Linked DNA regions of Mus musculus. The protein of the gene in region 5 purifies or fractionates together with the protein of the main gene of each other region. This does not show direct contact. Links are inferred from orthologs where the notes say so. Each region holds a gene or a part of one and is shown on either strand. Other genes may lie near its edges. The genes, in order: Ppp1r12a, Wdr92, 1700037H04Rik, Pfdn6, Ppp1ca, Ylpm1 and Ccdc85c.

Region 1 (3,500 bases), on a different chromosome or scaffold from region 5:
GGACTTAAGCCAGTGGTCAACATGGTGTTAATCATCTGTGCACCTCTCCAGACCTCTCCCATTGACGCAGATGATGTCGGTGGGTCTTTATCTGTCACCATACAGATGGTGACAGCCAAGGGGCAACTACTGCCAACACCCAGAGACAGATAAGAAATCTAGGAAGAGATTGGATGAGGCCCGAAGGCAGACAGGACTGCCAGGCAGCAGAAAACGTGGGAACTAGATGAAGGGTCTGAAAACCAAATGAAAAAACCTAGAAAGCCAGAGTGTAGTAGGCTCTGTAAATTCTCTATGAAGGAACCTGGCTTTACTTCCATGTCTTTAACCATAACTAGGATTCCACCCTAGTAACGATGCTGGTACACGGAGATGACTCTTTTAAAGCTTTTTTTGAAGGCAGTACTGAGTTCGAGGCCAGCCTGGTCTACAAAGTGAGTTCCAGGACAGCCAGGGCTACACAGAGAAACCCTGTCTCAAAAAACCAAAAAAAAAAAAAAAAAAAAAGGCAGAACTGTGATAGTGTTTAAGCAATACAGACTGTTTTCAGTTTTAACAGAAAAAAAGATAAACATTTTGTTTCTTATGCCACTAAAATAATCTTTGGTGAATGTAATAAAGATTATTTATTTATTTACTTATTCATTTTTAAGGATTTATTTATTTATTATATGTATGTACACTGTAGTTGTCTTCAGACACCCCAGAAGAGGGAGTCAGATCTTTTTATGGTTGGTTGTGAGCCACCATGTGGTTGCTGGGATTTGAACTCAGGATCTTCTGAAGAGCAGTCGGTGCTCTTAACGACTGAGCCATCTCTCTAGCCCAAAGATTATTTTTTTAATCTTTAATATCCTCCACTAAAATTAAGACTAATTTTTAAAAGCCATACCCTCCTCAATTCTCTTCTTAAATGCAATCAATAAACCTGAGTACTACAGCTGTCACGGAATACACAAGGCACTGGTTTTGAGCCTAGCTCTGACGGGGGAGGAAAGACGGGAGGAGAGAATCATATTTGATTCTAAAATAATTGCTGATTCTGAGGGGATATTCATTGCATGCTGTCACTGAGACTTTTGTTTAAATTAAAAGCATGGAATCTTAAGAGATAAAACGGAGTCTGGACCTTTCTTTCCAACTGCTGATTTATAAGTAATTAAGATACAAGTGTCTCGGGCCGGGGGGTTGGGGGGGTTGGGGAGTGGTGGCGCACGCCTTTAATCCCAGCACTTGGGAGGCAGAGGCAGGCGGATTTCTGAGTTCGAGGCCAGCCTGGTCTACAAAGTGAGTTCCACGACAGCCAGGGCTAAACAGAGAAACCCTGTCTCGAAAAAAAACAAAAAACCAAAAACAAACAAACAAACAAAAAAAACAAACAAAAAAAAGATAAGTGTCTCCAGTGTAACTCAATGGTAGACAGAAGCCCCTTGTTTGACCCCCAGTGAAGAAAAAGAGGAAGGAAGCAAAAGGAAGGACGAGGAGGGAGGAGGTAAGGAGCTGGAGGGGGAAAGAACTGGGAAGAAAGGGGAAGACAAAAAGAGTGAACCTGGGACTGATACCTGAAGCAATGGCTTTACCACTAAGCTACACGGCTAACCTTATATAATCTTACAATGAAAATTAAACACAAAACTGTTTAAAATACATCTATTTCCTTTGTAACAAGAACAATTAATCTTGGTATGTTGTAATATATTTTCTCCCAAGTCTTCACAACACATGTGCTCTCGAATGCGCACGCGCACACACACGCACACACACACACACACACACACACACACACACACACACACACACACAACACTAAGATAATTAACATCTAGGAAGACAGTTGTCTGGCTTTGCCTTTATTGACCCAGACATCAATTCTTTCAGAGATGACTAAAACGCCTAACTGCTAATAACTGCTAGCTGTGCCCATTTCCCTAGGCTGGAGTCAATACATGACATTTCATTTATTAGCCTATTAAGATGATTGGTCATTGTGGTGGTTTGAATGAGAATGCCTCTTAGGATCACATATTTTAACACTCCGTTCCCAGTTGGGAGAGCTGCGTGAGGGGGCTTTGCAAGTCTGCCCTTCTTGGAGGAAGTATGCCACTGGTGATGGGCTCTGAGATATTAAAGACCCTACCATTCCCAGCTCTTCCTCCTTCTTATGCTGCAGTTCAAGATGTAAGGAGCTCTCAGAATCACTCTCTAGCCACAGCTGCCTGCCGCCTTTACCCAGACATTTATGGACTCTAACGCTATGAACCTATAAGCAAAATCCCCTTAATCTTTTTTTAAAAAAGAATTATTATTTTTTTTTGTATGTGAGCACACTGTATAGATGGTTGTGAGCCACCATGTGGTTGCTGGGAATTGAATTCAGGACCTCTGGAAGGGCATCTTAACTGCTGAGCCATCCATCTCTCTGGCCCACCCCCTTCTTCTATAAAATGCCTTGGTCATGGTATTTTAGCACAGAAACAGAAAAGTAGTTACTAATACATATCACATTTCCAAGAATAACAAAACAAACAAGCAAAGAACACAAAATACCAGAAACTGGCCAAGCATATCAGCAGAAACTAGTACTGAGAGGACCTGTACACACCTGCGTCTCTCCCTGACCTCGGAAACAGTGCCAGCAGTAGTTGTAGTCAGGGTGGTGGTGGAAGGAGCTGCAGCATTTACAACAGTTGGAGCCACAGGAATGGTCACTGCAGTAGGAGCACTGTCCTTTTCTTTCTCAGTACTATCCTCAGCCCACAAACGATTTGAGGTACTATAGCATCATAAGCAGCAACACAAAAAGAGAAAAGGAAAACAGCTAAACAACGAAAGCCATTTCTAGAAGCTGAAAACAGGTGACCACAGGGATGGATTTTTTAAAAACACAAGATTAGTAATCAAACAGCTCACGCAGAGCTGCCAAAGAAATAAATTTTTATTTTAAGCAATATGATTTAAGACCTTAATATTTTTTCCCCAGACATGCATAATTGCTTGTTTTTTGTTTTTTTTTTGTTGTTGTTTTTTTGGTTTTTTTTGGAACCAATTTTTGCTTAAAAACAATTTTGACATGGTAAATAAAAAAATCCAGAGCCCACATTTGTCTACACAACGATGCATGCACGCACATAAGCACACAGTAGACCTGGACACAGACCGTCTCTGTGACTCACCTGCTCTGTGTGCCTGCGGAGGAGGAACCCGGGGGAGTCTTTGCAGCAGTGCTTGTGCTGGAAGGGAGGCTTCTCTGAAGCCCCGCTGCAGAGGTAACTGTTGGTGTTGATGTGGTGCTTGGAACACTACAACTAATCAAATCATCTTGTCTTCTACCAAAGGAGCAACTAAAGGAAAGAGGCATTTCTATGTAGGATGTGTCTGTATGTGGACGCTACATTCACTATCTCAGATATCACACAACTGCACACAGTAGAAAACAAACTGTGCTCCTCATCAGACCACCAGCTCCAGCACCAAGAGTTGGACCTACAATTGCTAGAGTA
Region 2 (3,500 bases), on a different chromosome or scaffold from region 5:
CAAAGACAAGCAGCAACACTGACAAGATCAATTCACATTACAAGTATATTAATACAAGGTTAATTAATTTCAGACTTATAAGAAATAATTATGTGGCCAGGCGTGGTGGTGCACGCCTTTAATCCCAGCACTCGGGGGGGCAGAGGCAGGTGGATTTCTGAGTTCGAGGCCAGCCTGGTCTACAGAGTGAGTTCCAGGACAGCCAAGGCTACACAGAGAAACCCTGTCTCGAAAAACCAAAAAAAAAAAAAAAAAAAAGAAAAGAAAAGAAAAAAGTATGCAATGGCATGGCATGACTATTTTCTAGAAAGTAAACACTATGTAAAATGTAATTTGAGATTTTTTTTTTTTAGGGTATCATCTGCATTTGAGGCTTTGCTTAACCCTATTAATGGCATTTGGTACTAAACTAGGTCAATATTATCAATTAAACTAAAAACTATTGTAATAATAGTAAATATTTTCAACACTATGCACATTCTAAGAGCTTTAGTGACATTACTTCATTGGTTCCTCAACACTATTAAGCAAATTCTATTAGCTACACTGTACATACAGTAATTTCCCCAAGGCACACAATAATAGCACAGTGAAGATAAAATCCTAGCCCGGGGCTGATATTAAGTCTATGGTACCTGACTGGACAAATCTCAGAACAGTCTACAGAACAGGCTACCGGAGCCTGCCCATAATCTCCTGAACCGTGATGAACCTGAAGTGCAGTACCTTGTCAGTAACTTACCAAATGCCACGGTCCAACAGTCTCTCTTGTTTTCTCCTTGTGCAGGTTCCATGTTAGCGACAGGATCCTCTTTTTGCCTTGGGTCCCACACCTTTACAGTTCCTGTCATAGATAAAAGGCATTGGCAAAATTCATAGTGACTGATCACACTTCCTGTTTGTTTGCGTTCTCTTTCCACAGTTATCTATATACGCGACAATAATTGTTACAACATCTGTAAACTATTCATGTTTTTTCTGACTTCAAAATGGTTAAGTTGTACTTGATACCAGACACAACTCCATGTTAGTATTAGAAATGATTCCTAAATCAGAGAAAACCCAAAAGTATTCCTAGGCTATCTGTAAGTTTTGAGGGACACTCAAAACAGGCCCTATTGTCTGGGTTAGTACCACATACATACAAACACACTTAGAATAATGGGAGTATCATTTTAACTTTGCTTTTCTTACTACACATATAACCATTGATTGGTTCTTGTCTTATACAGAAGAATAAGGGCTGTCACTACATTTTTATATGGGGTTCTAAAGGGCCATTTCAGCTGCTAGCGAGGCAGTTCATGGCAGAGTGACCAGCATGCATGAGGTCCAGTTTCACTTGTTGACACAGAAGAAGAAACAACCCCATCTGCCTCACACAGAATTAAGCTTAGCTTTCCCGCAAAAGTTAATGAGGAGGGAATATTAATAAAATTAGATTAAACTAAGTTTCAACCCTCTTATATTAATTCATATTATAGGATTACTAACTAGTAGTGTAGTTAGTAATCTACATAGTAACTAGTGTCATAGCCTACAATCAACATGATTGCATGTACTGAGATGGCTAAATGGCCTACATGTGAACATGAACAGGGAAGGGAAAAAATACCCCTGCAAGAGACCAGGGATAGAGCTGTCACCAGAAAGGCTACAGTCCTATGTGGAGGGGACTCCCACAGTTCTGACAGAGATCACCATCTCAGCTACGGGTTTGTACAAGTCATTAAGAGCTTTGTAAGTTTTCCACACTGGAATTGGCAAAGAACATAAAGACAATTCAAAACACAGAACTAATCAATACACAGGCACTGACACTAGCACACATGGAGACGGAGGACAGTGGAGAAGGAGGACAGTGGAGATGGAGGGCAGCTTCTAGTCTACAAACTCACAACAGGAAAAAGCAATGCCAACCACTTGTAGTCCCTCATCCACTATAGCTGGCCAGGGAAATGGGTACTATGGGTTATTTAGAAATACATTCTTTTTTCTTTTGTTTTTTCTTTTTAAATTGGATGTTTTCTTTATTTACATTTCAAATGTTTTCCCTTTCCAGGTCTTCCCTTCAGAAACCCCCTATCCCATCTGCACTCCCCCTGCCTCTGTGAGGGTGCTCCCTTACCCACCCACCCACCCACTCCCGTCTTACCGCCCTGGCATTCCCCTACACTGTGGCATCAAACACCCTCAGGCACAAGAGCATTTTATAAATCATAAAATATCCCCCAGGACTTACATACATCACTTCTTTAAAACTTCAAGCCTCTATCCTAAGAACACCCAGAAACCTTGGAATGGTTGTTACGGAAGCATGGTATGATGTTACGGCCACACGATGGAATGTTACAGCCATTAAGCTAAAGAGCTACGGAAGCATCTGCATCTGCAGACCTCTAAGTACGGGGGAGAAGCACAATGGCAATGGCAATGGCAGCACGATGAACTACTCGCCATCCACGTGCCCCACGGAGCTCCCATGAAAAGTCATTCTAGCACACCTCTGCTCACCAGTAACTATTAGAAAGTGATAGCTCATTTTTCTTTTATAGTAATCTTTTGAGAGCAACTGACGCATCTCCATATGAGACAACAAAACGTGGGCCCATTAGTCATCCAAGCTGGGTCTGTTGGTCCCTGAGGCCAGTGCTGGGATGCTCATGGACACATCACAGAACACGTCTTCAGGTACCTGTCAACCTGACAGTCTGCTAAGTAGTAACTGCATTTTAGAAAGAAGATGAGAAGCTGCCTCACATATCCCATGGCTGCTTCAGAAACCCTCGAAGACTTATAAGTATTTCAAACTCAGCTCATTGTTAGTTGTTGAACTAAGTCCACATTGAAATATTCAGTGCTGGGTCTCTCCCTGCAAATACACAGAAGCTGGAACTGAATGAGAGATGTGCAATAAAACTTGTCTGTTATAATGCAGATGCACAAATAAATGCAGATGTATGGTAGATACAGAGTCAAGCCAACCAGAGGATTCTGTGTGCAGAGGATATGGCAGCACACAGAGGTTCCATTAAACATTTGCTCAGTACTTAAGACTGACTCACCATCACGGCTGCCCGTCACGATTTCAGGGGCTCCTTCCCCAATTCCAAGTCCACCTACACCATCTATGGTATTTATGATTTCTTTGTGGCCCTTTACAGAATACACTGGCATCTCTGGAGCTTCCAAGTTCCTAAGCAGAAAATACATAACTGCTTATCACATGGCCTTAAAATACATAACTGCTTATCACATGGCCTTCAAACCAATTAAACTAAAATACATAACTACTTATCACATGGCCTTAAAGCCAACTAAACTAAAATCAATAAAAACAAAAAACAATGCAAAATGGACGACTTTAACCTAAGACAGAGGCTCTGAAAACACTAGAGGAAAACACACGTGATACCCTGGATGCCAGAAGCACAGGCAAGGATTCTCTGAAACGGACTCAACAGCACAGGAAATGGACCCATCAAGACAGGAATGGATAA
Region 3 (4,055 bases), on a different chromosome or scaffold from region 5:
TCCATTTCCTGCAGAGGCCAGACTCTGAAGGCGAGCCATCGTGCAGGAACCGCCTGTAACCCTAAGAATGGTAAGGCAAGTAACAGCAGGGACCCATGAGAGCCTGAAAAAACCAAACCTCCTTTCACACCAGACAACCTGCTAGTGGCCGCCCCATGGGAGCTACACTCATCCATACAAATTCCTCATTAGAAGCAGGAAAAGAGGCCACTGGGCCTCTCCCGCTGTAGTCCTGTCCACAGGGACCTGCTAGGCCACCTCACAACTTCTAGCCTGGCCATGCCTCCAGCCTGCACCTGTGCTAGCCAAGTTCCCACTGTCACCTAAACCACACAGACCCCTCCCCACCCTGGGGATGGGGGGACAGTAGCCAATCAAATTCAGACTAGACCCCCCCACACACACATGCCCCATTGGCTGTGAGGACAAGCCATTTCACTTCTCCAATAGAGTAAGCAGTGGCCTGCCTGCTCTTCTCTGGGCCTGTGTGGCTGTGCCTAGGACTCTGTGAAAATGCCAGCACCCTCTACTCTCCCTCCTCAACCCTTAACCACCACAAAAACAGAGCTCTGGGGACTTGGTTCCTAGAGCAAAGGCAATTTCACCGGAAGAAAGGCACTTCTGGTCACTCTTGGAGGAGTCCTCGGAGAGTTCAGCTTCTCAGAAACTAGCTAAGAGATGAAGGAGGCCCCTCCCCTGCCCTTCTTCCTTTCCTCACTCCAGGGCACCAGGCTCTGGGAAGACTATGGAGGAGGCTGCTGTGGTGCCTTTTCTACTTTAGGCCCCTCATCTGGCAAAGAAGATGATGCCCCTGCCCTTAGATGGCTGTCGACAAATCAGGAGTGAGAGGAGAGAAAACTGGGTATGGCAGCAGGCAGACTTGGTTAGTAGAAGCCGGAGGATCAGAGTTCAAGTCATCCTTGGCTACAGAGTGATTGTAAGGACAGTCTGGGCCACCTGAGACAATATCTCCAAATAATTAGTAAGTAAAAAACAAATATACATAAGTCAGGTGAGATCCTGGACAGCTTCAGGCGGGGGCACACTGAGGGCTTCTTGGTATTTCAGATGCTCTTAGGGAAATTGGAGTGACTAAAATGTGGGCGGGGAAAGCTCTGAAGCTACCTTCCCAAAGAGCTAGCATGTGGGTAAACAGGTGGTGGTTATGGAAAAATCCAGGGTCTTCGGTGTCATAAGGCCTTTTTCATTGTCCAGTCCAGGCTGCCCTGTTCTAGCACTCAAGCTCCAAGCTAAGAGGCAAAGGTGATCTACCCATGGCAAAACGGAACTCTTGCATTGTGACACTCTCTCTCCCTTCTGATTACCTACCTCTTCCCAGAGGCAGCCTTTAAGCCCCAAGGTATCACAGAGCCAATTTCAGCTTGCGTTGTGCTGTGTGGCTGGGAGCACAGCCCCAAACCTTTTACCGTCTCCTCTCTGAATCATTCTTCAACCACCATTCCCAACCCCATAAAAGCCCTTTCTATGTCAGAGCAGTAAACAACCTTCAATTCTTCCTACCACCTCCCCTACACCCATCCAGGGACCCAGTCACAGCTCAATCATCAGCCCAGCAGAAGCACTTATCCAACCTCCCCTTAAAGCTCAAAGAACACCCACTGAAGTCTCAGACAGGGAGTGCTACATGGAGGTCGCATGTGGAAGCAATCTTTCATCTCCTCAGCCTTGACCTATCTTTGGAGCCCCCTTCCCCAAAGCCAGGGATGCAAGGACGGTAATAGGTGTTTACTCTCACAAACAGTGGAGGGAAGGGTTGACCTGTGAAAAGGGTGTTAGTCCCTCCTGTCTACCAACCTGTGTGGTTCTCCTCTGCCTAGCATTCACTTCCCACATCCCCCTCTGACATCAAAGGAGGCTGCTTGGATTCATCTGGCCTCTAGATTGACTCTTTCACCCAAGAAGCAGAGACACGGGTGAAAGCTGCTCCTACCCCCCACCCACCCACCCACCACCCACCCAGCCCACCCCACCCCACCCCAGTGCAAAGCAATGCCCTACCTTCACATCCCACCACCAAGATTAAAGAGGAAAGACTCAAGCTGTCCAACCGAGCCCTGTTCACTAACAGGAGCACTGGTCCAGAACCTAAATCCAACCATTTCTGTGAGACACTGGAGAGGCTCTGGCTCTGGCCCTCTGGCCTTTCCTACCGCCATCCCTGTGGGTGTGGCACGCCCCACCTCAGTGTTATTGTTTTCTCAGGGGACAAGAGCAGCAGAACGGGCCTCAGACGTACCCACACCAAGAGCAAGGCCGCGGATCTGTCCATCTGAGATAATGCCCTGCGCTCTCTGAGCTCGCCAGGCTGACGCAGGAGTCTCTGGAGCCGACACTCCCAACATCAACATCCTCCTCATGATCGTGCCCGGGCACCGGAGGCTCAGAGGCTACTCTTCCAAGGTCACATAGAGCCACGAGGACCAGGTAGGAACGGGACGTCAGCCACATTTACGCCCCCACCCTCAGGTGTCACTTGTACCCTGCCCGCTAACCGTCATTTGTACCCAGGACCCCACATCCCCCACCCCATCCCGCTTCTACAGAGTTCCTCAGGCTAGAAAGCAAAGCCTCCAGCTCCAGCACAGCTGAGGATCTCAGACCCAGGAGCCGTCTCTGGTGAACTAGACGGAGCCCGGAGGGCCCATCTCACCTTGCAGGCGAGCCCCGCGGCCAGGCGGTCAGAAACGACCGCGGAGGCGGCGGTAGCAGCAGCAGAACGGGCTGGAGAGCGCGAGGAAGAGCCCCGCGCCGCATCAGCCTCGCGCCACGCCCTCTCCTCCTTCATTGGCTTGAGGGGCGTTGAGGGGCGGGGCTAGGGCACTTCAGACCAATGAGCTGTCTCTGAGATCCACCAATTAACGACGAGATTCCACATCACGTGTGCGCGGAGGCTGAGCCCCACGAGTCGACGTCACCCCAGCGGCACGAGCTTGGGTGATGAAGCGGGATGGGAGCTATGTTGGAACCGCTGCTGGAAACCGACCAGAGCGACCTTCCCCATGAGGTTTCCGATCCGCGGCAGTTTTGTCTAGGAGTTAAGCAGTCACCTTTCCTACTGGACTGAGTCTGGATTTCGGTCTTCCTTTCCCACCCATTCCCTATTCCAAATAAGCATTAGAACAAAGAAGGCACGCGGCGTAGGAAGGGGGGAAGGGAGCGTACGCGGGCGCCCCCGGGGACAGGAGCTTCTGCTCCTGGTCTCCAAGGAGGCGGTCGCCATGGCAGCGGGATGCGTCTCGACCCACCCGACAGGGTGTGGGCGTCTTCGTAGAGCACTTACTAAGGCTTGTGGATTTTTGCCACAGGCCCACCTGTCCGTGTGCGACTATCTCTATCCTTATATACACTGATTAGGACAAGAGGTTTAAAGTGCCGAAAGAGCAGTCAGAACACACAGGTTCCCGATCCTTCCAACTTAACTAGCGGAGACAGGCCTTGGACCGCTGAGAGCTTGCTTGTTTTTCCGATAGAATGTGGTCGCTGCCTGTAAGAGTCCTCAAGGTCCGACTCTTCCGTGTCCTTATGGCTGTTAACCTGACTCGGATCTTGTGTTCGCACGCTGGTAACAAATAGTCTTTCTGTGCTATTGTTTTCATAGCGTTACTTCAGAGGGCCCAGTGCTTCCCTGCTGTCTTCAGCAGGGCTTCTCAAACTTTTTATCGTTGTTTTGGATGGTACGTGCGCTCCCTACTGTTGAGAAAATTCTGTCCTCCAGAGCGGACATTGAGAACTTTTCATTCTAATCCCAGCCTACTCAACCCCTACTCCCACCTTTCCAGAAGCCCCGTGGTGTGTTCCATATCTGTTCTTTTCCAAGTCAGCAGACAGTGCCTCCAAAGTATCCTGAAGGCCACCACGCCAGGCAAAAGCAGCCTGCAGATGTATAGCCCCCGGAGACTTTTATAAATACTTTTCTTCCCATCTTCTTGCCCCTCATCCTACTTCTTCACAAAGGATTCTCATTTCCAGTCTTCTTTTGAAATATCAGATCTAACAACACATTCTCACATTTACATTCAAAACAAGAACCAAGG
Region 4 (3,284 bases), on a different chromosome or scaffold from region 5:
TCCACGATGTCTGTCTGCAGGATTTTTGCCGTGTCTTCCCCATCTTCTCCTACCAGAAACCTAAAAGGCAGTTAGGATGACGACGGTGACGGTCCCCACCATGCAGCGGGCATACAAACATAAAAACGCAGAGAGACAGGACAGCGGGGAAAGCCCAGGTCGGGGTCCACTCACCCAGGTTCCTCTGCAAGCAGCAGCTCAGCGCGGGCGGCTCTGACGCTTGCCTCTTCCTCTTGCGCTTCAGCCTTCTCGAGTTTGCTTTGAGTTTTAGGCTTCGAATGTGGGAGCTACGGCATTGTTGACAGGGTTGCAAGAACCGAAGAGCATATGTGGGGGTCCCAGGAAAACCACTGGGGAAGCCGCCACCACCTCATCCAAACCCTCGGCCTCCAATCCCTCTGACAGCCCGCCGGTCCTCACCGTTTTGGACTTGTCAATTCGACAAAACTTCCGGGCCTCCTCCAGGGGGGCGGGGACGGGTCCTGGGAACGGGTCCTGAGCCTGGCGAGGACAAGGAGGCAGGAGGCAGATTCTGATGGATCCGGTTCCTCTCGATCTCCGGGGACGACCTGCACCGCCACCCTGTCAACCCCAGGCTCACCCCCGACAGCGTCCTCTGAGGCTTCTTCCAGTCTGGAGCGGTCTTTGAGATCGGGGGCTTCTTGGAGAACCGGGACTTCTGGGCGATGTGCGCGCTCTTGGACCTCGGGGGTCGCGACTCCCCAGTCCTCGCCTTCTTCCGAGGCGGCCCCGGGGAGGTGGCGACGGCGGCCGGGGTGGTCTCCTCCTCCCAGTAGCGCCGCGGTTTCTAAGGGGCAGAGGAAAAGCCTTCGCACACGCTGCCCGAGCCTGGGCCCGGGACGCGGACACCTCCCACCAAAGCTACCTTCCTCTTGGCCTGAGGCTTGTCTCTCTTGGGTGGGACACCCCTACCCGGCTTGGGGGCTGTCTCCATCTCCAAGACCGAACAACGATCCACGTGCGAAACTCCCTTGAGTAGTAGCTCGGCGGTCTAGGAAAACTTCCGGAAGTCCCCCCCTTCATCCAATCAGCGCCGTACCGGCGTCTGAAGCCTCCGGCGCCATGTTAAGTGAGGGCATGCCTCTGTGAGCCCGGGAGGATCGCCCGAGGAGCAGCTTATAACCAAATAAAGATTTAAAAAGCATGTATGAGCCCCGAATCTTGTTAACTATGAGCTTAGATTTTTCCATATTAACTTTTCTGTCTTGCCCAAAACCTCTCGAGCCGAGTCTTTTAGGTCGAACGAGCCTCACACAAGTCAGAACTACATGTTCCAGCATGTATCGGAATGTAACTTCCGGCGCCGTCTTTTTCTCTCCCGTCATGCCTTGTTTACTTCCGGGTTTATTGATTACAGCGGGTAGAGCGTGAAGAGGTTAGCGTTTGGCTTGGAGGGTTCGGGGATCTCTTCTTTCGCTCTCCTTTGCCTAGGGAGTGGCTATTCTGGACGAAAAGAGGCTGCGGCGCCTCGGAGAGTTGCGGGTAGAAAGTGCTGTCCTTCTGCAGGGTCAGGGAGGGGGGATTCAGGTGCCTCCCAGAGCTTGAGACCCAGCGACCCCCGCCCAGGAGGCTTTCTCCTTCACCATGGCTGAACTGATCCAAAAGAAGCTGCAGGGAGAGGTAGAGAAATATCAACAGCTGCAGAAGGGTAAGAGAGGGAGTTGGTGTGGTCTCGCTCCTGTCCGCTCTCATCTATGATGAAGCGTCGCGCCCCATTGGGGGCTGCGGGGGTGCATCTTGTTACCCCTCGCCTCGGTATCGTCGCTTTCTTCCTCACACCCAGTCTCCCCAGAATTGCGCGGTTCTGGGCCCATTTGATGTTTTTAATCGTGCATTTCCTCTCTCCACCCCAGACTTGAGTAAATCTATGTCAGGGAGGCAGAAGCTCGAAGCACAGCTAACGGAAAACAATATCGTGAAGGAGGTGAGGATGGGACGCGGGGGTGGGGGGCGAGGAGGGACTCTCCTGGGCACGATCATCTCATTCACTGCCTCATCCCCTTCTCAGGAGCTGGCCCTGCTGGATGGATCCAACGTGGTCTTTAAGCTTCTGGGACCCGTGCTTGTCAAACAGGAGCTGGGGGAGGCTCGGGCCACAGTAGGGAAGAGGCTAGACTACATCACAGCAGAAATGTAAGTCCTGCGGATGGCGTTTTCAGTGCACAAGTGTTAAACCCGTGCTGGATAGTTCTCCACTTACCCATTTCTGTAAAGTCCTGGCTGCCCTGGAACTCGCTCTGTAGACGGGGCTGACCTGACACAGATGCGCCTGCTGCCGCCTCCTAAAGGATGGGATTAAAGGCATGTGGCACCACTCCTGGCCTTTCTTGCTGTGTGACATCTGGTGAGGGCACTTGTCAAAGGACAACCTGCGGGAATGTTTGCCTCCCTACTGTGGGGTTCTGTAGCTTGAATTCAGGTGCCAGCCTTGGAGGACAGCAGCCCTCTCTTCCCCTTAGTGCCATCCCCGCTTTCTGTCCCACAAACCTCCAGTCTTCCACCATATCATTGAGCCCTGGCTGATATCTCCTCTCCGTTTGCCTCCCTTTGCCCTCCTCAGCAAGCGCTACGAATCACAGCTTCGGGACCTCGAGCGGCAGTCAGAGCAACAGAGGGAAACCCTTGCTCAACTGCAGCAGGAGTTTCAGCGGGCCCAAGCTGCAAAGGCTCCTGGGAAAGCCTGACCCCGTGGGAGGGGGTCAGGAGGGAGGGATGAGGCTAACCCTGAGCCAATAAAATGTAAACAGAACCAAGCCTACTTTACAGCCAGTCTTTCTTCACTGTACTTCCATTCCCGTACACTTTTACACCTCTTGAGATTCACGGTCTTGTGACTGAAATCTCTCAGTGGCCGGATTCTGTTTTGCTTTCCTGTGGCTGAGAACTGTGCCCAGGGTGTTTCCTTGGGTCCCTTCAGTTTCAAAACTTTAGTCTGAAACGTCTCAAGCTATTTCTTGCCTGTACATACAACCCTTTGACTTCCCTACGTTGGTTGGCGTAACCGGGAGACACGGGAGAAGACACTGTCTACAGTGCAGCATGTTGTTCGTTGCCATAGAACTCAGTTCTCTGGCCTGAGAGCCCAGGAAATGACAGTCACTCACGGTGAGCACTTGTCTCCCCAAGCAGCCCTAGCCCTAGACTGTTACCTGATTTCCCCGTCTATCTTCTCAGGGTTGGTTTGAATGTAACTTTTTTTGGTTTTGGAGACAGGGTTTCCCTGTGTAGTCCTGGAACTCACTCTGTAGTGAGGCTGGCCTCGA
Region 5 (3,961 bases):
GAAAACACTCATCAGGGTCCTGGGGTTGAGCCAGGCGTCTATTGGGCAGCCTCTTCCCCACACCCACCTGGAAGGAACACATGAGGGTCTCATCCACACTCATCATGGCACCAGCATTGTCAAACTCTCCACAGTAGTTGGGAGCTGAGAAGAGTGTCACCAACTGTCTCTTGGCAAAGAACTCATAGCCATCTTCTACAACCTGGGCCAGGGCAGGAACGGTTTAGTCTGTAAGTTAGGCACCCCACCCCCACCCCCAGCCCGCCCCAGGCCACCAGCCCACCTGATGTGCTCTGCAGATGAGGTCCAAATCATGCTTGTGCAGGAACTTGGCTACCACCTCAGCCCCAAAGGTAAAGGAGACACCACGGTCATTCTCGCCCCAGCCTTGAACATCCTTGTCAGGGTCAGACCACAGGAGATCACACAGTAGGCCCTGGTCAGGCACGTCTGTGGGCCGCATAATACGCCTAATCTGCTCCATGGATTGCAAGTCTGGAGACAGGCCTGGGGGTGGTGGAGTGGGAATAGTGTTCCTTAAACCAAGTGCTGTCCTGTGCCCAGCTCTGGGGTGGGACAGCTCCACTGTTCCCACCGCTAATCTGGGCTCCTTAAGTTCAGGGAGACAGAATCCATTACTTCCCCACTGGCCCCATTTCTCTGTGGCCTTGGCTGTCCTGGAACTCACTTTATATGACACCACCACTTAGAAGTACAGATAGCAGACCTCGGGGGTGGGGGGGCAGAAGGAGATTAATGAGTTGACTACAGGATGCCTCATGCCACAACAGGAAAGAGTGCAACCAAACTGGTGGGTGGAGCATGCCTTTAATCCCATCACTTGGGAGTCAGAGATAGGCAGGAGCTCTAGTGAGTTCAAGGCCAACCAGGTCTACAAAGTGAGTTCCAGGACTGTCAGGGTTTTACCCAGAAAGCCAGTCTCAAAAACAAACGGGGGTGTGGTAATCTCCCCTAATAAGCGATATCCAAGATGAGATTCAAGGAGCGCTATTCCAGGGAACTGAGAAGAGTTCTGTTAACTTTACAAGGCCCCTAAGGATGTGGCCCAAGAACCCAAGCACAGACCCACAACCACTCTCACCCCCGTGGCAGCAGAAGATCTTCTCATCCACAATGGCTGCAATGGGCAGGCAGTTGAAGCAGTCAGTGAACGTCTTCCACAGTTTGATGTTGTATCTTCTCTTGCCTGCGCAAAAGGAAGCGGCTCATAGGGAAGACTACACCCCCAACCCCCAACCCCAGTCTAGGTTTCTGTGCACCCATCCAGGGACAAAGCTGAGAAAAAAAGACCGAAAAGCAAAGAAAGCTTACATTCTTCTCTTTGCTCTACCCTCATCTACCTTCCAGAATTCCAACACCTGAACTCGTCTGGCCCAACCATGATGGTGGTACCCACTCTGGTCCCATGGATGAGGCCAAACCAGGAGTGGGTCTGTTTTATTCATACAGGCATCCTAAATGTTTACTAAGGAATGTACTAGAAGGGGGTGTCATCAGGCAGGGCTGTGGCTTTAGCAAATGGGCAGCCCTGCATGTACATCCATTCACCAGGCCCCTCCTGAGCGCCAAGGACGACAGACGTGTTGCTGGGGCCCTACAGGGCTCATCATTGGGGGTCTTTTGGCACTAGACCAATGTAGGGGGCCCATGAAGAGCAGGGAATGTAGTTCTGGGCAGACAGCAACATTCAAAGCACTTACATTCATCATAGAAGCCATAAATGCGGTTGATGCTGGCACACTCATGGTTCCCACGAAGTAGAAAGAAATTCTCCGGGTATCTGATCTTATAGGCCAGCAACAGGCAGATGGTCTCCAAAGACTGCTTGCCCCGATCTACATAATCCCCCAAGAAGAGGTAGTTGCTCTCTGGAGGGAAGCCACCATACTCAAACAGCCGTAGAAGGTCATAGTACTGGCCATGGATGTCACCTGGGAACCAGAGAAAACTAGGTAGGTGCAAGATGTAAACTTGACCCCAGGGCCAGCAATAGGTTAAAGGGTGGAGGAACACGGTTAATGGGGCACGAGTAGGGGCTATTTTCAGGAAGCAAAAGGGTTCTGTGCAAGGATTTACCACAGATCTTGAGGGGCGCCTCAAGCTCCAGAAGAATGGGCTGGCTCAGGAAAATCTCCCGGGATTTGAGGCACAGACCACGGATCTCGTTCTCTGTCAGCTGCACGTTCTTCCCAGGCCGTGAGCCCTGCACTGAGTACGGAATAGGGTCTTGGGACCCTGACCTCGCAGACCGGACGAGGGTAGGTGTCGCGCCCCCCTAACAGGGGCAACTGTTGCAAGTGAGCCCCCACCCCCTCACCCCGAAACCTTTGCGTCAGGCCTTCAAAGGCAAGATCCGACCCCTTAGCCACCCGGAGGGCCTCCAGAGAAACGCCTGTGCTCAGCAGCCTGTCAGCCGAAGCTTCCTCGCTTCGGGATCCCTTCCCAGCTAGCTTCGCAGGAGCCTCACCCTGAGTCCCGGGCACTCGTGCACCCCCGGCCTCTGAGCGCGCTCCAAAGCCCAGGCGCCCGCGGGGGGGGGGGGTGCCGTGGCCATGGATCCTCACGGCCTGTCCCCGCCCAAGCGACGCTAGCCCCCGGGAGCGGCGGGCCGCCCGCGCGCCACTTCCAGACGGCGAGGGGCCCGGGCTCGGCGCGAGCGCACCTTCCCTACCCCTGCCCACCTTCCAGCAGGCGCCCGATGATGGAGTCCAGGTTGAGCTTCTCGCTGTCGGACATGGCGGCGCCGCCGCTCCGGCCCACCAGCTCCGGGCCCTCTCCTGCCTCCCGCCCTCTTACAGCCTCCTTCCGGCCTGGCTCTCCTTCCGCCCTCCCCAGCCCGCCCCCGGCCCGCCGCCCCTCCTCTTCGGTCGACCGCCCCGCCCCGCCCTGCCGCGTCCGTAGTTCCCCGCTCTCTAGCGCCTCCCCTGGACGGGAAGCTCCGCAGCCCGAGAGGGCCTCGGGCGAGCGGGCGGGGCTGGCAGGGGTGGTGAGCCGGGGTTCGGTAGGGCGGGGTTAGGTCGGCTCCACCCTGGAGGAATCGCCCTGCCGCGTTCAGATGAGTTAGGGCCGGAAGTACTGTAGGAATTGTTTTTCTCTTTCCAAGTCTCTCCCACCCCAGCCCTGCGTGGGACTGTGGTATGAGCATGTTAATCGCTGACTTCTCAAACACTAAATAAATTCCTCGAAGTGCAGAAAAAGAAACTAAGGCTTAATGATACTGAGAGTGGGCTCCAGACCTCCGGAGCCTCACATTCACCTCCATCTTTATGGCCAGACCCATGAACACCTGCTACTGAACTCTAAGCAGTGTTTTGGTCCAGGTTGCCTTGGTGCCTGCTACGTCCATTTTTTTTCCATAAGTGATGTAATACGTTGTATCTCGTTCATGTTGTAAGTCCTTTGTAGAGTACTTGGACTTGTCTAGCATGTGCAAGGCCTGAGGTTCCAGCTCCGGCTCTGGAAGGAACATTAAAGTAGGCTTGGTGTCGTAAACCTATAATTCCAGTGCCTGAAATTCCTGCACTCAGGAGTCTGGACACAGGAGGATCAGAAGTTCAGGGTCATCTCCTGTCTGGGCTACATAAGACCCTGTTCTCACACTACCCCTTCACTCTCAAAACAAAACAAAACAAAAAACCCGGGGCAGGGGGTTGGAGGGGTGGGATGACATTAAAGGATAATTATTATTGGAACCATAAATTGGTTTTACTTGGTAAAACTGAAGGTGGCCTGTCATCTTCAATTTGGGCCAGCCAGGGAATCAATACACCCAGCATCCTCTGGATGGGAGGAGGTCGTGGCTCTGGCACTAGGGCAAGCAGGAAGAACCTCACAGAGGAAGGGGGGAGTCCCCCCACCAGGGAGGGGCCCCCAGCAAGCTGCTGAGCTGAGACTGAGGAGGAAGTGAGAAGAAGAGGTGAGGTGCAGCAAGGAGGTGAGC
Region 6 (2,856 bases), on a different chromosome or scaffold from region 5:
TTTAGCTCACATAGAATGCCTTTGGCGCTGGCCAGAGATGACGTGGAGCCGATAGGATGTGTCAAGAGACCTTTAGTGGTAGGGCTCTGTCTTATAATTATGGGAACGTTTTGAAACAGGTAAGAGTCACAACTGTGTATTTTAAGGTCACTTTGGCGGAGAATGAAAACAGTTTTTTTGACTTCTTGTAATTTTAAGTCAGTTAATCTACCCAAATAATAATAACATATTATCCAAAGAGGTTGCCTTTGGGGTTCCCTCCCTCAAACAGCCCAGTCTAATGCTTTTTTCTCTTTAGGTGAGATGGGCAGACCTAGAAGAAAAGAAGGATGCAGATAGGAAAAGGGCCATAGGTTTTGTGGTCGGACAGACTGATTGGGAGAAGATCACAGATGAGAGTGGTCACCTGGCTGAAAGAGCCCTCAATCGGACCAAATATATATGAGACTTAGTTTTGAATGGAGTCATGTTCCTCTAAGGTAAGGGCACCCAGGCATAGAAATCGCCTGTCATGTGGTTGCTTCCAAGGTACTGAGGACAGCATACTTTACTAAAAATGATTTTTCTAGCTCTGAACAAGTAAGTATGTGCTAGTACAATAACATTTGCAATACAGAAAAGAAAGCAGCTATTTGTAACCCAGCTCACTTGTAAAAGACTTAAGAGAGCTTGGGTTCTGTGTCCCTAGGGAAGATGGAGTCATGCTATGACAGATGCTGAGGTCTGCTAAGTCGTCTGTGTTCCTTTCCTTTCCTGGAGTGACCCCGTTTTCTTCTCTTTCCAGGTGGTTCGATGTGAGGCGACCTGAAGCTCAGCCCTCGGGAAGCTTCTTGTGTCTGGAAGCTTCTTGTGTCTCCACGTTTCAATTTTGTTTTGTTTTACCACTTTCATTTTTAAACGTTTTCCAGTATCCCCCCCAAAATTTTAGAATCTTGCTATATCCAAGCAAGACATTATTAATATTTTTTTTAAACTAATTTGGGGAGGGAGGGTTAGCTTAAGTGCTAAGTCAGGTGTGGATCCACAGGAGGGTTCCAACAGAGTGTTTCCTCCACTGTATACTGTCACAGACTATCATCATTGCTTTGTGGCTGGTTTTGTTTTTTTACTGTATGTAACAAGTAGCTGATTGTACTTGGATAAAAAACAATAAACTTTCACTATAAAGCCAATGAGATTCATAGGCTGTACAGTATGGGCCCTTTTCTCTTATTTTCTTACATTTATTTTTATTGTTAATTAAATGCAGTATGTCCTGCTTGCTGACCACCCCCAAACCACCTCTTTACTATTGAATATTAGCACAGCTGTTTGGTAGCACATTGTAAAACTCCATGATTGCAAAGTGTCCAGTGATGACCAAAACATTCAACTTTATAGATGGAGTTCTCTTTCTTTGTGTCTTAAAGACTAACAGAATCAAGTCTAAATATCCATCAATTTTCTGAGACATCTCTCTCTCTCTCTCTCTCCCTCTCTCTCTCTCTCTCTCTCCCTCCCTCCCTCCCCCCTCAGGAGGGGGAAATACGGTGTTACCTCTTTATTCTTCCTTTCTCTTTGTGCTACCTTGTTTGATTTCCTCCCTCTCCCCCCCCCCCCTTTAGCTGGTTTTAAATACAGGTGAACAGAAATGATACATTCCATAGAACTCAAGTTGTTGCCTTGTTTTGAACTTGAATCGTTGCTTTCTAAGACAGGATCATGGTAAAGGAGTATGAAAAGTCTCCAGCCCTCTGGCAAGCAGTCTTTGAGCCTGGCCAGCTTTTCAGGCTCTTGCCAGATTGCTCATTATTGTAAAACTTGGCCTTCAGCATAGAATTTCATCTCCTGTGGATAATCCCACTCAGAACCCAGAAGCAGAGCTTACATCCAGATAACATTCTTCCTTAAGTATAGAAAGGAGGTGCTTGCTTTTTATCAGTCTTCACAGATAGAGATGAACTTTCTTCCTCAAACACTATTTCTTGGTGGCAAGCCAGCTCAACAACTTGGGAACATGTTAACAGATGACCTCAGCATTATGTCATGGTTGGAAATCTTTAGTTTTTCAATCTACATTAAATACTGTGCTTGGAGCTAATATTTCTTAGCAGTTCAGGAGTGTTACTTTGGGTTCAGTAATGACCTTCTCAGACTGAAGGCACTAATCGTAACATCTTCCTGTACTTTTCCCTCAAATTCTGAATGTTTATGCCTAAAAGACTAGGTTCATTAACAAGTTAATATTGAATGTATAATTTGCTTAATTTAATGATTTGCACTGTTTGTAATGTTTAATAATCTATTTTGGTGGCTAAGGACTGTAATCTATTTCTGCATATGGATCCATCTTAGCTACCTTTATTATACTGGAAAATGTTACATGGTAAGATAGCCAAATAGAGCTATTGTTTGTACAAAGACTCATTTAACACTTATCTTTTCTTACTAAAGTAAGACTTGTAAAGTTATTTTCCTGCTTGAGAAGAAAAGAAGGCCTCTTTGTTCCTCACCTTTAACCTTTGTGTAGCATTTGAAACACCCGAGAGATGAGTGTTGGTTACCCACGAATCATGGGTCTCAGCATCGTCAGCCATGGCCTGTGGCAGTTTTCAGAAAGTAGTTAGAGGAGCCACAGTCAAGAGCTGCCTGCTTTCAGAAGTGGGTTCATCTACAGAGAGTCAGAAAAAAGAACCAGAAAGCAGTAAGGAAGATAACCAATTAATACTTGATTCTACAAGGCCAGTAGGAAACTCTTAAGAAATCCTAATTTTTATTATCACCTAAACCAACAGAATAGAAGGTCAAGTGGTATCTTGGGGAGTTTTGGGTTGGGTAAACATTTTGTAGTGAGTCAACTCTTCTTAGTTACAGTAC
Region 7 (4,300 bases), on a different chromosome or scaffold from region 5:
AAAAAGACTGTCTGCAAAGAGGTGGAGACACTCAGCGAGACAGTGTCCTGAGGAGACTCACCCTGACCACTGTTACTGATGACATAGCTGAAAACCAGCAGCCCTGTGTTTCCCTAAGTGCAAAGATTCCCCTCCTTCATGATGCACTTGGGGAAATCAAGACCCTGAACACTGGCCCTCCCAGAGCCCCCCCCCTCAAGAAGGTGAAGCCAAAGAGATGCATGCCAGCTCTGTAAAGAGGGGTGTCCGTTCCCCCAAAGTAAACTGGAACTTGGCATCTAGAGCATGAGTGAATAGCCCCCCCCCCAAGAAGGTGAAGCCAAAGAGATGCATGCCAGCTCTGTAAAGAGGGGTGTCCGTTCCCCCAAAGTAAACTAGAACTTGGCATCTAGAGCATGAGTGAATAGCTGTCGGGGTAAGGCCCTGTGGATGCAATGTTACAAAAAGAAACCTGAGTTGCTGTGGTAGATTGCTAATCAGTAACAAAATATCCCTTTAGCCCCAGTCCTTTCCTGAACTCACAAGCTCTGGAGAGTAAATAAAGGGGAAACCTCTATCTGACCTGCATGAGAACTGCAGCTCCTGCCTCAAAATGCCTGCAGAGGGCTTGGCCAGGAAACCCAAGAAAAAGCTTGGTCCTCAGCTCCAGCAGTGAGTTTGGGGAAGAGAAGTTCTTCTAAGCCTTGACAGTATATGGATGGAGAAAGGCTTTAAGGAGAACAGAAAGGGCGAGTTACTCTTCGCTACCAGGGGAACAATTCAGGCAAAGGCAAGTGCCATCAACACTGAGAGCCAAGCTCCAAAAAACTGTGGGGGAAACGGAGTAGCACAGCAAATGGTAGTCAGGACAGGAGGGAAGCTGCAGGGCCCAGATCGCCACTGAAGGGACAGCCACAGTACCCTAGGTGGGGACACCCTCCTGTAGGGTCAATAGCAACAGGTTGAGGAAGACAGAGCCGGCTTCCAACCCACACTCTGGCCACAGATGACCCCAGCACTTCCTGTAAGACGATCAAGCTTACAGATCTCTTCAGGGGCATTATCTATCTCCACCTCACACCCCGGTGAGGCGGCCATCAGCCTCTCCAACTTACAAGCAAGGAAGAAAGGAAACTGAGGCACACGGAGAGGTCGGAATCCACTCCAAATATATCCTCTGGGGAAAACTGTAGAGACCGAACTGAGAAAGGTGTCCCAACCAGTACTGCGGGACTTATGGGAAGCCAGGAAGACTCTTATCTTAGCCCAGGGTACTCTGGCCCAGCTTCGTCAAGGTCTCAGCACGGGTGATTGTGTGCCAGCCCAGCCCAGCCCAGGAGGAGATTCAGCTGGGAAGGAAGCAGGGGAGAAAGCCAGCCACAGCACAGTGCAGTCGTGGGTGCTAAGTGAGTTTGAGGGACTCCAACCAGAAGGGAAAATTCACTTGCTTTAGCTTAGGGGCCTTTCATAGTCTTCCAAGAAAAACTCTCCTCTGCCCTCAAGTGTTTTCAGGGTAGGATGAGAGACACCCCTCGACAGCCCCAGAGTGCCAGCTGGTAACACAAAAAGCTGCGGAGGAGAAACTTTTTTCTGCGGCATCAGCTAGACAGGGACACCACCACGCCGAATGCTCCATTTGCTATGCCAGCTGCGGAAGGGTCTGAAGGTGCGACCCCACCCCCACCCCGCACCTGTGAGGTCTCCAGAAACTACTACTGCTTCACGACAGACACCCATGGGCTTCCGATCCCGGCGAGATGCTTACCGTGCAGGCCGTTAGGGATGCTTCGGTGGTGCGGCGGCGCTGACAGGTCATCCAGAGACCGGCGCGTGGCTCCGGCCTTGCCGTCCGGAACCTTGTGCGGCCCCGGGGGCAGCAGAGCCGCTGGGACGTGGTGGTGGTGGTCCGGGCTGCCGCCGCTGCCCGCACTGGACGTGCTGCTGCCGTCGCCAACGTCGCGGGCCCCCGAGCCCGCTGCGCTCCCCGCCAGGGGCCCGCTCAGGCTGGCCTGGCTGTCGATGGAGCTGCGGGAGCCCGCGCCGCCGCCGCCGCCGCCAGCGCCCCCCGCCGCCGCCAGCGCCGCGCGCTCCTCGTCCAGCAACAGCACCAGCTCTTTCAGCTCCAGGTTCTCGCGCAGCAGGGCCTCCTGGCGCGCCTCGAGCTCCCGTAGCTTCTGCTGCGAGCGGGCCACCTCGTGCCACACGGCGCCGGCCGCGTGGCGTCCGAAGCGCTGCCACTCGCGCGCCAGCTTGCGCCCTTTCTGCCGGTCGTCGTCCAGGAAACAGCAGAGCTCACGCAGCTCCTGATTGTCGTCCTGCAGCCGCTGGTTCACGTCCTTGAGGCCGCGGATCTCCAGCAGGTGCTGCTGCAGCCGCCGGTTCACGTCGCGCATCAGGCCGCCGTGCTCCAGCATGAGGCCCACCTTCTCGCCCTCGGCGCGCCGCAGCCGCCGCGCCAGCTCCTCCTTGCTCCAGCGCAGCAGTTCCTCGTCCGGGACCTGGCTCAGCTCCTCCGACGCCGCCGCTGCAGCCGCCGCCGCCACCGCCGGGGGCTTCGCCATGGCGGGGCCGTCACCGCGGCATCGCCCTCGCCCGCGCCGGGCCGGCGCTCCCCGCGCCGGGGCTTCTCTGGGCTCGGCCACGCGCGCGCGGGGGGCGGCTGGGGACGCGTGCGGCCCGCCCTTCGCCGCCTCGCGCTCCCTCCCGCGGCCCCCTCTGGGGTCACCCGAGAGCCCGCGCACGCCTCAGGACTGAGGAACCGGGACCGTGGCTGCGTCGGCGGCCGCGGTGCCCCGGCTCTCCGAGCTCGGGCGCAGCAGGCGGAGGCCCGCCCCCGGCCCCGCTCCCGGAGCCCCAGCTGCCCCGCCCACCCCGGGCGGAGAGGGGGCGGGGCGCCGCCGTTGGGCCACGCCTCCGAAAGGGAGGCGGTCAGAGGAGTGGCAGGCCCCCGAGGTCCCCCTACGCGGTGCGCCGGCCCGCCGGGCGCCCTGCCAGAGGCGCGCTCGAGCCACGGTCCCGCCCTCCCACAGGTCTGATTGGCCAGGTTCGGGGGTGTGCGGGAGGGGCGGGGCGCGCGCGGGGAGGCTGAAAAGATGGTATCTTCCAACCGCGGGGCCTTGCACCCTCCTCCCCCCCACACTCCCGGTTCAAGTTTCTTCGCCCGGAGGACGCGGCCTGGGCCAATCCCAGGACTACAAGGGGTTTTAAAATGCAGGTAGGGCTAGGGGGTGGCGGGGACCGGTGGGAAAGGTAGGGCAGGGCTTCCCTTAAAGGCGACGCGCGAATTTACGCGTCCCTTATCCGGCCAGCGTCCCTGACCCTCCCTTTCTCACCCTTAATAAACAGATGCCCACCCGGCGAGCACAGCTCTCTCCCTCCCTCCCTCCCTCTCGGGGGCACCAGAGTTCGGTACAGTCCGAGAGAGGAGGAACAATAGGACCCTGACATGGGGGGTCGGGCAGGGCTGGTCTTTGTCCCTTTCCGGGCCACCGACCAGAGCCACCTGGGTCCCTGCCTAATATTGCAGCGGGGCTGTCTTCCCACCCCTAGCCCAAGACCGTGGAGCCTTGCCAGCCTTATCTCAGGGCCAGATCTCTCTCCCTTCTTCCCCTGACGTGGTGGGAGCCGAGGACCTGCCCTTTTCCCAGAGCAGTTCTCCGAGCCCTTCCCTTCCGCGCACTACACCGCTAAATCCCTGGGATTGGAAGAACATGCAGTTCGCTAGGTGGAAACCCCTGAGAAAGGCGAGGGAAGGTCTTCCACCCTGGCCAGATAGCTGGGGTCCATAGGTACTCAGCGACCGCAGAACCTTCTTCCCTCGCCCCGCATCGCTGCGGAGCATACGGATCTTCCCACACCTATAAATCCCGTCCCCTAAGCGCATTTAACAGCGCTTCTGCAGCCAGCGGGCCGAGGGAAGGATGCGTTTCCCCTGGACCTACAAGGAGATAACCCACTCTGCGCGCGCACAAACCGGGGTAAGCTACCCGGGCCTGGAGCGCGTGCCCGCGCAGCAGCTGACATCCCCCTTTTACAGTTACTCAGCCGTTTACTAAACCACCTCATGTGCCCTCTTACACCTTCCCCATCCCGGGGGAATTCTACCGGGACAAGAGGCCACTGCTCTCTGAGGGCACTTGGCATTCTTGGGAGGAGGGAGAGAGTACAACGTGAGAAGAATCGGTGAGGCTGTCTGCAGCGCTATGCGGGGAATTCAATTGCCTTAGATCTGTGTTCTGGGAGGGACCTAGGAGCTAGGACCTAAACCTGAGTGACAAGGACAAAGGTAAGCCTGGAGGCCGGACAGGTGAAAGGAACAGCA

Evidence for each region.
Region 1: the proteins of Ppp1ca (region 5) and Ppp1r12a purify together in Homo sapiens (affinity purification with mass spectrometry; 3 studies listed by BioGRID and IntAct, with this or other methods). This does not show direct contact. The link is inferred for Mus musculus from reciprocal best matches to the Homo sapiens genes PPP1CA and PPP1R12A.
Region 2: the proteins of Ppp1ca (region 5) and Wdr92 purify together in Homo sapiens (affinity purification with mass spectrometry; 6 studies listed by BioGRID and IntAct, counting the BioPlex papers as one, with this or other methods). This does not show direct contact. The link is inferred for Mus musculus from reciprocal best matches to the Homo sapiens genes PPP1CA and DNAAF10.
Region 3: the proteins of Ppp1ca (region 5) and 1700037H04Rik purify together in Homo sapiens (affinity purification with mass spectrometry; 4 studies listed by BioGRID and IntAct, counting the BioPlex papers as one, with this or other methods). This does not show direct contact. The link is inferred for Mus musculus from reciprocal best matches to the Homo sapiens genes PPP1CA and ADISSP.
Region 4: the proteins of Ppp1ca (region 5) and Pfdn6 purify together in Homo sapiens (affinity purification with mass spectrometry; 3 studies listed by BioGRID and IntAct, with this or other methods). This does not show direct contact. The link is inferred for Mus musculus from reciprocal best matches to the Homo sapiens genes PPP1CA and PFDN6.
Region 6: the proteins of Ppp1ca (region 5) and Ylpm1 purify together in Homo sapiens (affinity purification with mass spectrometry; 3 studies listed by BioGRID and IntAct, counting the BioPlex papers as one, with this or other methods). This does not show direct contact. The link is inferred for Mus musculus from reciprocal best matches to the Homo sapiens genes PPP1CA and YLPM1.
Region 7: the proteins of Ppp1ca (region 5) and Ccdc85c purify together in Homo sapiens (affinity purification with mass spectrometry; 4 studies listed by BioGRID and IntAct, counting the BioPlex papers as one, with this or other methods). This does not show direct contact. The link is inferred for Mus musculus from reciprocal best matches to the Homo sapiens genes PPP1CA and CCDC85C.

Annotation. Positions count from the first base shown.
Region 1 is NC_000076.6:108,252,598-108,256,097, reverse strand, and holds part of Ppp1r12a (protein phosphatase 1 regulatory subunit 12A), read right to left. Parts: intron 3,342-3,500; coding exon 3,174-3,341; intron 2,774-3,173; coding exon 2,603-2,773; intron 1-2,602. UniProt on the Homo sapiens protein: Key regulator of protein phosphatase 1C (PPP1C). Mediates binding to myosin. As part of the PPP1C complex, involved in dephosphorylation of PLK1. Capable of inhibiting HIF1AN-dependent suppression of HIF1A activity.
Region 2 is NC_000077.6:17,221,893-17,225,392, reverse strand, and holds part of Wdr92 (WD repeat-containing protein 92), read right to left. Parts: intron 3,197-3,500; coding exon 3,066-3,196; intron 845-3,065; coding exon 743-844; intron 1-742. UniProt on the Homo sapiens protein: Key assembly factor specifically required for the stability of axonemal dynein heavy chains in cytoplasm.
Region 3 is NC_000068.7:131,157,282-131,161,336, forward strand, and holds the start of 1700037H04Rik (UPF0687 protein C20orf27 homolog), read right to left. Parts: upstream 2,801-4,055; 5' UTR 2,672-2,800; exon of another isoform or gene 2,224-2,671; intron 1,736-2,223; exon of another isoform or gene 1,106-1,735; intron 71-1,105; exon of another isoform or gene 16-70; intron 1-15. UniProt on the Homo sapiens protein: Adipocyte-secreted protein (adipokine) that acts as a key regulator for white adipose tissue (WAT) thermogenesis and glucose homeostasis at least in part through activation of protein kinase A (PKA).
Region 4 is NC_000083.6:33,938,409-33,941,692, reverse strand, and holds Pfdn6 (prefoldin subunit 6), read left to right. Parts: upstream 1-1,349; 5' UTR 1,350-1,605; coding exon 1,606-1,669; intron 1,670-1,874; coding exon 1,875-1,945; intron 1,946-2,029; coding exon 2,030-2,154; intron 2,155-2,581; coding exon 2,582-2,705; 3' UTR 2,706-2,784; downstream 2,785-3,284. Other genes in the region: Wdr46 (WD repeat-containing protein 46), read right to left, coding at 1-60, 175-287, 421-501, 602-808, 934-1,044. UniProt on the Homo sapiens protein: Binds specifically to cytosolic chaperonin (c-CPN) and transfers target proteins to it. Binds to nascent polypeptide chain and promotes folding in an environment in which there are many competing pathways for nonnative proteins.
Region 5 is NC_000085.6:4,191,013-4,194,973, reverse strand, and holds the start of Ppp1ca (serine/threonine-protein phosphatase PP1-alpha catalytic subunit), read right to left. Parts: upstream 2,801-3,961; 5' UTR 2,758-2,800; coding exon 2,703-2,757; intron 2,230-2,702; coding exon 2,098-2,229; intron 1,953-2,097; coding exon 1,722-1,952; intron 1,208-1,721; coding exon 1,103-1,207; intron 508-1,102; coding exon 284-507; intron 203-283; coding exon 68-202; intron 1-67. UniProt on the Homo sapiens protein: Protein phosphatase that associates with over 200 regulatory proteins to form highly specific holoenzymes which dephosphorylate hundreds of biological targets.
Region 6 is NC_000078.6:85,069,321-85,072,176, forward strand, and holds part of Ylpm1 (YLP motif-containing protein 1), read left to right. Parts: intron 1-298; coding exon 299-445; 3' UTR 446-479; intron 480-784; 3' UTR 785-2,856. UniProt on the Homo sapiens protein: Plays a role in the reduction of telomerase activity during differentiation of embryonic stem cells by binding to the core promoter of TERT and controlling its down-regulation.
Region 7 is NC_000078.6:108,272,594-108,276,893, forward strand, and holds the start of Ccdc85c (coiled-coil domain-containing protein 85C), read right to left. Parts: upstream 2,801-4,300; 5' UTR 2,541-2,800; coding exon 1,745-2,540; intron 1-1,744. UniProt on the Homo sapiens protein: May play a role in cell-cell adhesion and epithelium development through its interaction with proteins of the beta-catenin family. May play an important role in cortical development, especially in the maintenance of radial glia.